3 linked regions of the Bombyx mori genome follow. The protein of the gene in region 3 purifies or fractionates together with the protein of the main gene of each other region. This does not show direct contact. Links are inferred from orthologs where the notes say so. Each region holds a gene or a part of one and is shown on either strand. Other genes may lie near its edges.

What was found.
Region 1: the proteins of pre-mRNA-processing factor 19 (region 3) and Rpa2 purify together in Homo sapiens (affinity purification with western blotting; 4 studies listed by BioGRID, with this or other methods). This does not show direct contact. The link is inferred for Bombyx mori from reciprocal best matches to the Homo sapiens genes PRPF19 and RPA2.
Region 2: the proteins of pre-mRNA-processing factor 19 (region 3) and beta-catenin-like protein 1 purify together in Homo sapiens (affinity purification with mass spectrometry; 4 studies listed by BioGRID and IntAct, counting the BioPlex papers as one, with this or other methods). This does not show direct contact. The link is inferred for Bombyx mori from reciprocal best matches to the Homo sapiens genes PRPF19 and CTNNBL1.

What each region holds. Positions count from the first base shown.
Region 1 is NC_085114.1:7,172,631-7,176,784, forward strand, and holds the start of Rpa2 (replication protein A2), read left to right. Parts: upstream 1-1,341; 5' UTR 1,342-1,477; intron 1,478-2,112; 5' UTR 2,113-2,280; coding exon 2,281-2,290; intron 2,291-2,362; coding exon 2,363-2,433; intron 2,434-2,504; coding exon 2,505-2,726; intron 2,727-2,979; coding exon 2,980-3,165; intron 3,166-3,749; coding exon 3,750-3,955; intron 3,956-4,154. UniProt on the Homo sapiens protein: As part of the heterotrimeric replication protein A complex (RPA/RP-A), binds and stabilizes single-stranded DNA intermediates that form during DNA replication or upon DNA stress.
Region 2 is NC_085121.1:10,823,044-10,827,196, forward strand, and holds the start of beta-catenin-like protein 1, read left to right. Parts: upstream 1-1,271; 5' UTR 1,272-1,474; coding exon 1,475-1,504; intron 1,505-1,584; coding exon 1,585-1,779; intron 1,780-2,262; coding exon 2,263-2,409; intron 2,410-2,672; coding exon 2,673-2,804; intron 2,805-3,358; coding exon 3,359-3,518; intron 3,519-3,651; coding exon 3,652-3,743; intron 3,744-4,153. UniProt on the Homo sapiens protein: Component of the PRP19-CDC5L complex that forms an integral part of the spliceosome and is required for activating pre-mRNA splicing.
Region 3 is NC_085116.1:17,076,841-17,081,120, forward strand, and holds the start of pre-mRNA-processing factor 19, read left to right. Parts: upstream 1-1,416; 5' UTR 1,417-1,425; coding exon 1,426-1,618; intron 1,619-1,864; coding exon 1,865-2,014; intron 2,015-2,505; coding exon 2,506-2,639; intron 2,640-4,280. UniProt on the Homo sapiens protein: Ubiquitin-protein ligase which is a core component of several complexes mainly involved pre-mRNA splicing and DNA repair. Required for pre-mRNA splicing as component of the spliceosome.

The sequences.
Region 1 (4,154 bases), on a different chromosome or scaffold from region 3:
AATGTTAAAAAAAACTTTCAGGTGAGGCTTTTTTTCCTACCTAAGCTGATAGTCTTGAGAGGCTATTTCAGCATAACCCTAACAAGTAGGTGAGCTCACGGGGCTCAAACATAATGACGTTGCTAACACTAACCCTGGCAAGAGCAGTGCGCAAGCAGCGGATTCGACGGAGAACGATGACCGGCAGGTGAGCCCTAAGTTTATTTGCCACTCAATAAATCTTAATCATAATTTGGTATTTTTCAATGTTCATCTTAGAGAGTCTTAAATGAATTATAGTGCCACCTATTTAAATTATAATAATAATGGTAATGGCTGGGTAATGTCTAAATATCTTGTTTTAATCCATATTTTTATGATTCTCATTTTATCATCTGCAGAACTCATTAACAAAGCCAAACAAAGCCTTTGGCCTTAATAGAAAGTAAGTAAGGTCAGTGGATATTATTCTTAGGGACATTAGTTAAAATAGTGGTGTATCTTATCTAAGATATGCCGATGATACAACAATCCTTGCAGCCAGCGAGTCCGAGATGGCTGCGATCTTGGAGCGAATAGAGAGAGTTAGCCTTGAATTTGGCCTGCACATAAACCGCTCTAAGACCAAAGCGATGACGGTGGACAGAGCTCAAGTTTTAAGTCCATCAAATGCGCTCAAGGATTATGAGAAAGTGGAGGAATTTATATACTTGGGGTCGCTGATCTCTAACAGTGGTAACTGCGAGAAAGAAATCGGACGCCGTATCGGGATGGCTAAAAGTGCCATGACTAGCCTCAATAAAATCTGGAAAGACCGTAATATTCGCCGAGTAACTAAGATGCGTTTGGTTCGTACGTTGGTCTTCTCTATCTTCCTGTATGGGGTGGAGACTTGGTGTCTCAGGAAAAAGGAACGCAAAAAGATCGAGGCCTTTGAAATGTATTGCTGGAGAAAGCTGCTACGCATTCCTTGGACAGCTATGAGAACCAATGTCTCCATCCTCGAAGAGCTGAAGGTCACCAAGCGCCTGCTGACTATGTGCCAGGAATGGATCCGGAGTTTTTTTGGGCACATAATGCGATCCTCATTGCACAGCCTGGAGAAACTCATAATTCTCGGACAAATAGAGGGAAAGCGCGCTAGAGGAAGAGCGCCAGCTAGATGGGTGGACCAACTCAAGGAGGTGACTGGAGGCCAGATACAGGGAGCGGCACATATGGCGCCTTTACACTCTCAGACAATATCACTTGTACTTGTAATGTTACTTGTAATTGAATATGTTAGATAGTGAATTAAAGAATATTTAATATTTATTATATTCTCGGCTAGATTCCCTTCGCCTATCCACTAAACAAATTCAAAAAAATCTATAAAATGGCGGGAATTAATTGAGACTTCTGTCTGGCCAAACTCCAAAGGGACATTTTGGTTAAAACTGTTAAAAGTTACTGAAACAAAATAAATCATCATCTTTTGGAAGATAAAATATGTGAACCTATAGTCGGATTTTTTATTAGACGAAGTCAACTGACGTTTACTGTGTTGTCAGTTTTTGATGAAATAAAAATAGTGTTGTGACAAAGTGAACGATTGAAAAAACTCCTGAATTAATGAAATTGCCTCGATTGTCTAGTGAACAGTTGGTGTGCCGAATTGCCGATATCGGGTACGGGGTTCGAATTTTAGGCGTGCTTTGTACATACCAACGAGTTTTCGACGAAATATTATGTTCCTATAATATCTACCTGTACTGAATACCGAGTGTTTTAAACATTAAGAAAAACATTGCGAGGAAGTACTTGTAAGACTGTCCTATTTCCAATACATCATATAGTTGAAATTATAGATGTATAAAATATAACAATTATAGGTAAGTAATGAAAATAAAAAAGCTGATTGTAGTTACATACTACTAGCAACATATATTGGAGCACTTTAATACAATTTTATTGTAAAATATAAATAGTACTCTTTTATAGTTTGAAATTAATGATTAACTCTTCACACTCATTGTTCATTCGTGATTGAACGAGAACTGAACGCATCACTATTACTTTAAATATAGCAACATTATTTCACAAAGTGACATTAGCTACTGTCAGCTAGCTTCGTCTAATTAAAAATCCGACTATAGTGGCTTACTCGCTTGAAAAAAGTTTACAGGAATAAGAATCAAAACTAAAAAAATTAAACCATACTACCTTTTCTATTAAGATCGGTTCGGAATTGTTTAGTGCATTGTACTACTGCTGTTACTAGAATAGTCTTCAACTAACAATTTTGACCTCTACTTTAAAACAATGTGGAATGGTTTGTTGTTTTATCATTTACATGGTTATCTTTATAGTTTTTTCTGTATTAATTAGAATTTGTTACATTCAGATGATCCTTCTGGAGGTGGCTTCCTTAACACCACAAATCAATTTGGAAATACGGCAACACCCAAAAAAACTGTAAGTTTACAAAAAAATAAAATTCAATTGATTACGAAAATTTAATATATTAATAATACATTTATTCACAGGGTCGTAGAGCGGCACGGACAGCACCTATAGTCATCAGGCAAGCTTTGCATTCTGGAGAAGAAGGTGTGAAAATATGGGGTACAGAAATTCAAATAGTGTCAATAGTTGCAAGAATCAGGAGCATTAGAATGCAAAGCACTAAAATAACATATACAATCCAAGATATAACAGGGAGGATGAGGGCTGTACTCTGGCTCGACCAAGAGGCTATGGAAGTTGAAGTAAGTGAAAGTTACTTCCAGTTTCAGAGTAATGTCAATGTAAACGAAATCATTAATTAAAATGAGTTAATCCATTAATCATGTCCACAATCATGGTAATAAAAAAAATAAAAAAATCTCAAAGTCAGATTAAGTTATTAAACTTATTCTGTGCTTTTTGAATATTTAAGTATATGCCATTTTGATTCTTTAGATATTGAGTATTTTACATAAAAAAAAACAGATATTAAATCTTTCTGAGCTTCAATTTCAGGATACCTCATCACCTAAAGTTCAAGTAAATGATTACATACAAATTTACGGCAATGTGAAAACGAATAAAGGGACAAAAGTGCTCATGGCATTTAAGATAATGCCAGTTACTGATGTCAACATTATTACATTTCACTACTTTCAGTGCATTCATAATAAAATACAAATGGAAGCTGGCTCAAAGAAGGTAATTCTAATATACCTGGTAATCTTAAAATTTATTATTCGCATTTCCATTCACCATAGCTAAAGGCAGAAGTAACTACTTATAACACAATATTTTGAGGGGTTAAAGACTATTTGGTTTAAGCAACATTTAGCTTAATACACATGAATTTTGTATTTGAAATATTTAGTTCTTGTATGTAACAAAAAGAGTTGATAATAATTGTCAGATATTTTTATTACAGTACAGTACATAAAAATATGTCATAGTATAGTATTATTTGTTATTGATTCTTCAGCAATGTAAATGATGTCTTCTTCATCAGCAATGACTTACCATTTCAATTTTCATATAAAATGAATTTCAGCACATCCAACATGCTTCTCCTTTTTTTCAGTTTTATTTTAAAATAATAATCTACTATTTTCAAACTTGAACCCTTTATTCTGATAAAGACAGAACTACAAATTTAGTTATCATTCAGCTCTTGCTAGTGCATTTGAGTTGCATCATTGCTGTGGATTATTATGTCCCATCATGAATGGTGCTTCCGCCTACATGTTTTTTGCTATACATTACTTCATAAATTGGATTTTATTTTGCAGGAAAAAAATATTCAAGATGTCCCAATTAACAACATGCTGCCTGCAAATTCAATGGTTGGAATTACTGAAACCTCTTCAGTGAATGGCTTAAATTCTCGTCAGATGATGGTCTTCAACCTTATCCGTGGCTCTACTGTTGAACAAGGAATTAGTAAACAAGATATGTATGCCTCACTGAAAGATCGAATGACAAAAGTTGAATTTGAGTATGTATTTTTTAATCAACATACTAAATTTTAATTCAAACATTTTTACCCCAATAAATTATAACTGATAACTGATAGTAAATGATAACTTAAAAATAGAGTTGAAAGGAAAAAAATAAAGCAGTTAGATTTTAAATAAATCATCACAATCAGCCCCTTTTCTTAGGAGTTTAGTGACAAACACACATACAAAAAGATT
Region 2 (4,153 bases), on a different chromosome or scaffold from region 3:
CGTGTTTTAGAAACACGCTATTTCCTCCCGATACCCTCTCCGTGCTTTATAGCATTTCGAGCACCGGTCGACGTTCTTGTGGAAGAGTTCGAACGTACAACCCACAGACACTACCTAAGTTTCTTGGAAGATCTTCAGTTCTGCAGGCCGCGATTTCGATCCTGTGATCTTGTGATTTAGCAAAGCACCACTCTTTTTAGACTTGGTGTTAGAAATTCCATCAGGTCGAGAGTATGAGGAATGGGTCTGGGTCTATTTAGCTTTACTAAGATGTGCTCCGTGAGGCGGTACAGTCATTGGATGCACGGCTGTTAAGCACGGAATCTAATGACTGTACCTTTGCCTTTCGATGTGACGAAGTTCCAGAAGCGTTTCAAGCGAATCAAACGTTTATACAATTTGTCTATTGCTGGAAAGATGCTAATTGGATAGTAACTCGTGGGTTCGTTTAAAGTTTTTCTAGTTTTCGGGTATGCCGATAACCTCTGATCCATACCGTGAGACAGATTCAGCTCGCCATAGCGGCATTTAAAATGGAGAACACAATTATTAGTTGAATAGGTAAAAATTTTAATGTTGTGCAAGCTTTCGGATCTAGGAGCTGTCCGTGATTGCAAGTTTTTTAAGCTATTTATTATGGCATTACTGGTATTTTAAAGGGCTCACTAACCGAGAAAACCTTTATTTACACTTTATCTTTATCTCAATTACATTTTCCACCATTTTACTCAGAAGTTTATTGTAGCCTTTCTTGCCATATTCTTTCGAGTTTCATTTTTTCCTCAAAAGGCACATACATTTTTGCAGAAAGAGTTTAGTACTTTGCAAGAAATTCATCGTATCCCTTCACCTGTATAATTGGATAAAAAAAGAAATGGTGAAATAGTTGTGTAGGTACTATCTAGTATCTATTTTAGTGGTATCTTTTTTACTGGTGGTAGGACACTCTTGTGAGTCCGCACAGGTAGGTACCACCGCCCCGCCTATGTCTGCCGTGAAGCAGTAATGCGTTTCGGTTTGAAGGGTGGGGCAGCCGTTGTGACAATACTGAGACCTTAGAACTATATCTCAAGGTGTGTGGCGCATTTACGTTGTAGATGTCTATGGGCTCCAGTAACCACTTAATACCAGGTGGGCTGTGAGCACGTCCACACATGTAAGCAATAAAAAAAAAAACTATGCATAGCTCATAAATTTAAAAATTATCTTCCAAATAAGAAGATATGACCTAAAGGTCTCTTGTCACCAGGTCACAAAATTAAAAAAAAAATATCTATGGCATAATATTAAAACCATAGATTATACACTTAATATGATTAAAAACAACAAAAAAAAAACCTTTGAAACTAACCTTAAAAATAGGGACTTTTATGGACATTGAGAAGTTTGAATTAAAATATGAAAACTCAGGACAGTTAAAAATATCACCAATACGTAATAAGCCCAAAAATTACCTTTTCGCTTAAAACAAAAAATGGATGTTGCCGAGCTATTGACATTCAAAGTAATATTCTATATCATAACGGTGCAACAGTTTATTTAATTCAACAAAAAAACGAATAAACATAAATATTAACTTCGCAGCCTACGCCAACACCAAAACGGCCAAATGAAGATGAGAGCGATGAGGAGGATCAAGCCAAAAGTGCTAAAATTCGTCGTACCACCAAACTTAAACAGGAACCTGTACATTTGAGCAAGAATATGTTGAAGGAACCCTCGATTACTGATAAAGAACGAGAAGATATTCTTAAATTTGTTGCCACTGAAGTAACAGAGGTAATTATTGTATTATTTGTAAAATTAAGGAAGAATGAAACAAAAATTAATAGTTTTTAAACCATCCTGTATATTTTGCTGTCATCAAAGGTAGATTAGGCAATCCTGTTTTCAAATGGTCTTTGTCACTTATGGACATTAATGCTAATAGAAAAACCAAGCTAACCTCCGAAGTTGTCATTGTTCACACATAATTTAAAGAGGGACATGTAACAGATGAATTATAGAAATCCCAAATGAAAAGAGTTCATTTTATGTATTAATGCAATAAGTAGGAGTGAATACTCCTCGGGCCCTGAAAGATGCAACGGAATAAATAAGATCATACTCATGACAGACATACATAGAAAGGGCAAGATGAAAAGAAAATTAGTTTATTGAGTCAGAAGCTCTGAACAATTTTAATTCATAATCTGAAATACTTCTTAATGTTTATTCAATTAAGATAGTGATTATAAACTCATAAATGTATTGAATCTACAGGGAGAAGTACTAGATGAAACCACAGTGAAGAAACTAGTTCTCAATTTTGAAAAGAAAGCACTTAGAAATAGAGAGATGAGGATTAAATTTCCTGATCAGCCAGACAAGTTTATGGACAGTGAAATTGATTTACATGATGCATTACAGGTATAATATTGTGTTATGATATTCAGAAGAATCTGATACTAACTTCATTATCAGCCCTCAAGGCTTTGCGCAACCATCCTATTTCTGTTGCAATTTAGTTATGTGTTCTGTTCTGAAGTATTAAACAACTATTTCATAATATTATTGGAATTTTGGCTGCATTAGGCTCTTACATAATACTATTTTGGCTGCATCAGGTGGGCTATTCACTCATGTATGCCATTAAAAAATAAAAAAAATCATAAGAATTGTAATTATTACAGGATTTAAGTGCTGTCGCAACAGTACCAGACCAGTATCCTCTGCTTGTGGAATTAAAGTGTGTGAACTCATTATTAGAATTACTATCACATGATAATACTGATGTCTCCACCAAAGTTGTTCAACTGCTACAGGTATGTATATGCTTATAAATTTTGCAAAACAATATTGCTGGGCTCAGTATCCAGTGTAAGCATGACTAAGATAAAAAACTCATGTCTTCTTTCTTGCCTATTACCCTCTGCTGGATTGTAGGGCTCGGGCTTCTTTCTTTTGTATCAGTCTTGGGCAGTCTATGGGTTAAATAAACTCATGCAAATCATTTATTTGTGTTTCCAGATGTTGTGCGTCATTTTCAATGAAATTACATATTTATATGTGGCAATACTGATATAGAGTATATGACAGTTTCTGTCCGTAAAATGTAGGTTACAAGAAAGGGTTTAACCTTTTAAAAAATGGTCAAAAATAAAAACTGACCCAATTATTACTTCTATATCTTTTATCTCAAACAAACATCTATGTTATAATGCCAGGGGCAGAGCCAAACCACTGCCTACTGTACCAAAATAAATAATGATGACATTTCATGCAGTTATTGTCAATATTTAAAAAAAATATTTTGCCATAGTAATAAACTAGTAATAAAATTGTAATTCTGATAATATTTACAATTGATGTACCTCAGGAAATGACAGATGTTGACATACTCCATGAGAGTGAGGAAGGTGCGGAAGATTTAATAAATGCAATGGCTGAAGCTGAAGCACCTGCATTATTACTACACAACCTGACTCGATTGGATGAGCAGGTACCAGATGAACGAGACGCTGTCCATAATACACTGGGTATGTCAATATATCATATAAGAATTTCATTTTAACCATTTAACTACAAACTAATAAATATGATATGTTATGATAGAATGATAAATATATAATGGCAATAACTGAGATAATGAAATTTGTCTTATCGTTTAAGGTATTATTGAAAATATCACAGAATTCAGACCAGAGCTTTGTATTGAAGTAGCAAAACAAGGATTTTTACAGTGGATTCTAAAAAGACTGAAGGTAACCATACTAATTTTATTTAATTATAGCTAAAATTGAACCAAATCTAAGATGCTTTATCAAGCATGTCTGCCTTCAGTGCAGTCTTTTATCCTAGTGTGAAGAACTTCACAAAAATATTCCTAAATATATAACCAAGAAAGGAATGTACTCCAAATGAGAACCTTCTCTTCATCCAAAGCTCCTAGTCGGAGCCACAGTCAAATGTTCCGTGCAATAATTAGCATGCCGTACATAATGCATATAAATTAAATAATATTTTTTGTAAATAATGCTAACAGCATTTAGAGGAAAGTTTGTTCGTAAAAAAATATGTTTGAACTATCGAATTTGTAGACAACGCTCGCATATTGACCTTTACACAGTTTTATGTGCTCACAATAACCACTGAAGAACTGCCTGACTCTTGA
Region 3 (4,280 bases):
GACCCGAAACACTTAGAGGGCCAGGGATTTGGCCAGATCCGCCTCCCTGGTCCCCGCTCGACGGCGGCGGGCTTGTGCGTCTCTCACGCGCCCCGCCGCCTCCTTCTGCCAGATGGTGCACTCGCAGAAGTCGAGCATCGCCTTCTAAGACTCGTCGTCGCCGAGCATCGATGCCACAACGCTCGGCAACGACAAGTCTTTTCCTATTTTTGCGACGAGGACACGTCGCCACCCCTTCCATGTGGGGCAGGCAACGAGCGTGTGCTCCGCCGTGTCCAAGTCGCAACCACAATGGTGGCAGTCTGCCGTCGGCCCGGCTCCGATCTAGTGCAGGAACTCACCGAAGCAACCATGCCCACTGAGCACCTGCGTGAGCCGGAAAGTGAGGCGTCCTCTGTCACGATCCACCCAATCCACAAGGACCGGACGAATCGCCTCGACGGCCCTACGACCAGCCGAAGGATCAGCCAGCCGTCTGGACCATGACTCCAGCACGGACCGCCGAGATTGGGCCCTTCGCGCTCTGACCACATTGGGGCTGGGACGCGCCACGCCCCGGTTACGAAGGTCAGCCCACCACTGATAGTCAGCGGCGAGCGCCTCCGCTTCCAGAACCCAAGGTGGCGTCCCAGCCAGTACACACGCCGCCTCAAAGGAGATGATGCGATAACCACGGATGAGTGGTATGGAGTGTAGAACTAATCCTCTTTACATTTAGGAGCTTATAAGATGTGTTAAGGATGTCAGCAACTTGAATTAATAAAAAAATTAGCTTTATTGGAAATGGACAACCTAGAATATTGTGGGAAGTTAAAATAATAAACGAAAGCATCAGATAGATTTTTTTTCTTAACAATTTAATATCTGCTAGGGAGCTTAAGTGGCGGAAAATCTAACACAATTGTTGTGTGGATGTTGTATTGTGTTAGATTCTTCTAAATAGTAGTTCTATAAATTCTCAATAAATATCTACTATTTCACGGACAGTTTATTTCATTTTTTACGGTTTGTGTTGGAGTTTGTATATTAAATGTAATGGCAGGCAACACTTGACACTTGATTAGATTTCGAATATTAGAATGATTTTAAATGTTTAAAAAACAGATCATTGTATTCTCCTAAGAAAATGTCATGACTTCTCATCTAGACACGGCAAGACAAACATGTAATAGTTTTGTAAAAAATATAAAGATAATAATTGTATAATGGTGTAAAAGTGTTCAAGCAATCTGCAATATAATTATAATGAAGCAGTTGTGTTTTTAAATAGCCCCTCATCACCTACAGAACCCAATCCCCTCAAATATAACCGTCCAACAGTTTGTCTCATGTCATTTAATTTTATTTTATTTTATTCAACTTCGTTTTGGTCTATTTCACTTTTAAACAGTAGATATGGCTTCAACCTTTTTTACCAAGTGGTGAATGAGCTTCATTCCCATTGCCTGTCTAACGGTCGAATCAAATAAAAAAATATCTATGGCGGTCACAAAACTCAAAAAGCCTAGAGTCGAAAGTTGGAATGGTTTTGTTTGGTTCCATGTAATTTTACGGCTCCGTGCAGAATTTTCAAACCTTTATAGTGATATCATAAGCAAAATGTCTCTCTATTGTGCGAGTAAGTTTTAGTTTAAATTCAGTAAATTGTAAATTAAAGGAGCGAAACGTATAAAGTATGTTTATTTTGAACGGATGCGTACCTGCCGGGCTACTAAAGTTTTTCATCAATTTTAGACAAAAGTTTTGATATTTGTATTTTAGAAGTCATTATTCCATTTCATAGGGTTTATTTCGCTATTTTTATGAATATTACAGTTTTATGAAAATTAACAGTTTATGTGAATAACCTAATTTATTAATTTAGTATCAAATGAAGTTCCCGAAGTACCAGTGGTATCACCTACGTCAGGAGCTGTGTTTGAAAGGAGAATCATTGAGAAGTACATAATAGAAAATGGCGTGGATCCTATTAACGGCAAGGAGTTGAGAGTTGAGGACCTTATTGAGATCAAAAGTGAGGAACCTTTCAATCATAAATGGCTTAAATTCCTCTAAGAGGTTAAGAAGTAATTATTAAATTATATAATAAATTAAACAATATCTTATCTACTTCAATACATAAGATATTAATTTTGACGAGTATGATAGACTCTGTAACATAGTGAGACCGCATAGTGAGACCGAAAACTCTTAAAGTACTTTAAATGTCTGATTAAGTAATGAATAATAAGTACAAGATTGTATTCATTTGTAGTCATCATAGCCCCAAGGCCACACTTTGTGTACTCATATTCAGCAAAGCAGCTAAATTGCAAGATCAAGTTATATACATCATGCAAGAAATAGTCACACAATTTTTTTTAAACAATATAATGTTATGAAGATTAGTGTAATAATGCTATCTTATAATTCATATGAGACAGCAAAACTTCAGCTTAACAAAGCCTAAAACTTGTCTCAATGAAAACTCAAGAGATAGTAATGAATAATTCATTTCTCAAATAGCACCACCTATAGTAAAGCCAAAACCTCCAAGTGCCACATCAATCCCTGCCACACTGAAAAGCATGCAAGATGAGTGGGACGCCCTGATGTTACATGCCTTCACACAGAGACAGCAGTTGCAGACTGCTAGACAAGTTAGTAATGAATATTTTTTAAATGACAAAGCTCATGTGTGTGTTTCAAAGCTGTAGAACAATAAATTATGTTTACCAGTTAAACTATTATGCTTATTGCCTACATATTAATATATTATGTATATGACAGATTGGCTGGTTCCATGGGGTTTTTAAAATGATGATGTCAGCGTTTCTGACACCATTTTCTTCATTGTTATCATTGCCTTCCATAGTGACACTAATTAAGATTCATTTTTCCAATGAATTCCATTTATTTAATTTCAAGTGTACAAGGATAAGAGCAGAGAATTCTGCCTCGTTCAACAGCTTGAGCTGGAATGTTTTGTGCGACAATAATCACTCCTATTTATACTAGAATAGTGCGAGTAGCTTAGTTATGAATTCTCTTGAATACCGTCTTAAACAGTTGTTGATATGTGTAACATTAAGAATATAGTCAACTTCAACTATTTTTAGTTAACTAAACAGTGACGTTGCGCCGACATATATGTTATAATGAATAGAGTACAAAAGCAGGAATTTAATCGAACTGTGATCTTGTCTGTCCAATCAATATAGTAAAAAATACATCCCTATTCATGTGCAATTGCGAATCCTTTATATGTTTGGACATATCATTCGTAATGAAAGCTCATTGGAATGTTTAGTGGTTCAAGGAAAAGTAGACGGCAACGCTCTCGCGGCCGATCATCCACAAGGTGAACAGACTTGATTCATCTACGAAGTGTTTCCTTACTAAATGTACACGTACCACCACAAATAGAGAGAGATGGAGAAGTCTCTCAAAAGCCGCAACCAAACATTAAGACATACGTAACCACGACCACTGTGCCAGAAGTGTACGACTGAGAAGAATTCATTTTTACTTTATTGGTTTAGCTCCTATTATATGTCCGTCATGACTATTGATTGTAGGAGTGGGTGATATAAATCGTATATAGATTCAATATCTATATATCGCAGCAATATCGTTGAATCCGATATCGCCCCGCACGAAATCTATATATCGATATCAGCCGATACACGATATTGCTCGATGTGATGCGCATCGCCATATCGCGATATCGGACCGATTCGTGAATCGAAATCTATATTTCGATATCAGCCGATACACGATATTGCTCGATGTGATGCGCATCGGCATATCGTACCGATTCGTTAATATCAGCAATATTCGTTTGGTTCGTATCGAATCGGCCAGAGTGAGTGAGCGCGCGATAGGGATATCATGTAATGAATGAAACAGAAATAGGCATTATCCATACAATTGTAAACCTTATATTTAAGTCCATATGTCTGTAGATTATTCTTAGCGTATCAGCAGGATACAATTAAGGAAAGAAGTTTCAACTTTCGACCCTAACTTGAATGCAGTATAGCCTATTTGCATCGTTGAATTTAATTTCACGCGCTTTGACCTTGAACTAGAATTTTTGGACAAGTGTTTATAAATACTTAAAAGTTTTTTGTGTTTGATTTTTAAAGTACACATTTTTCTATTTTTAGTTGAATCCAAATAATTGAGTTTATTTCTTGTGTTTGTATTAAACTTTTGAAATCTACACTCTTTTGGTATATTTTGTAATTTTAAATTAAGACACAAAATACTAAAAACTGAAAATAATGTAGCCAGTCCTA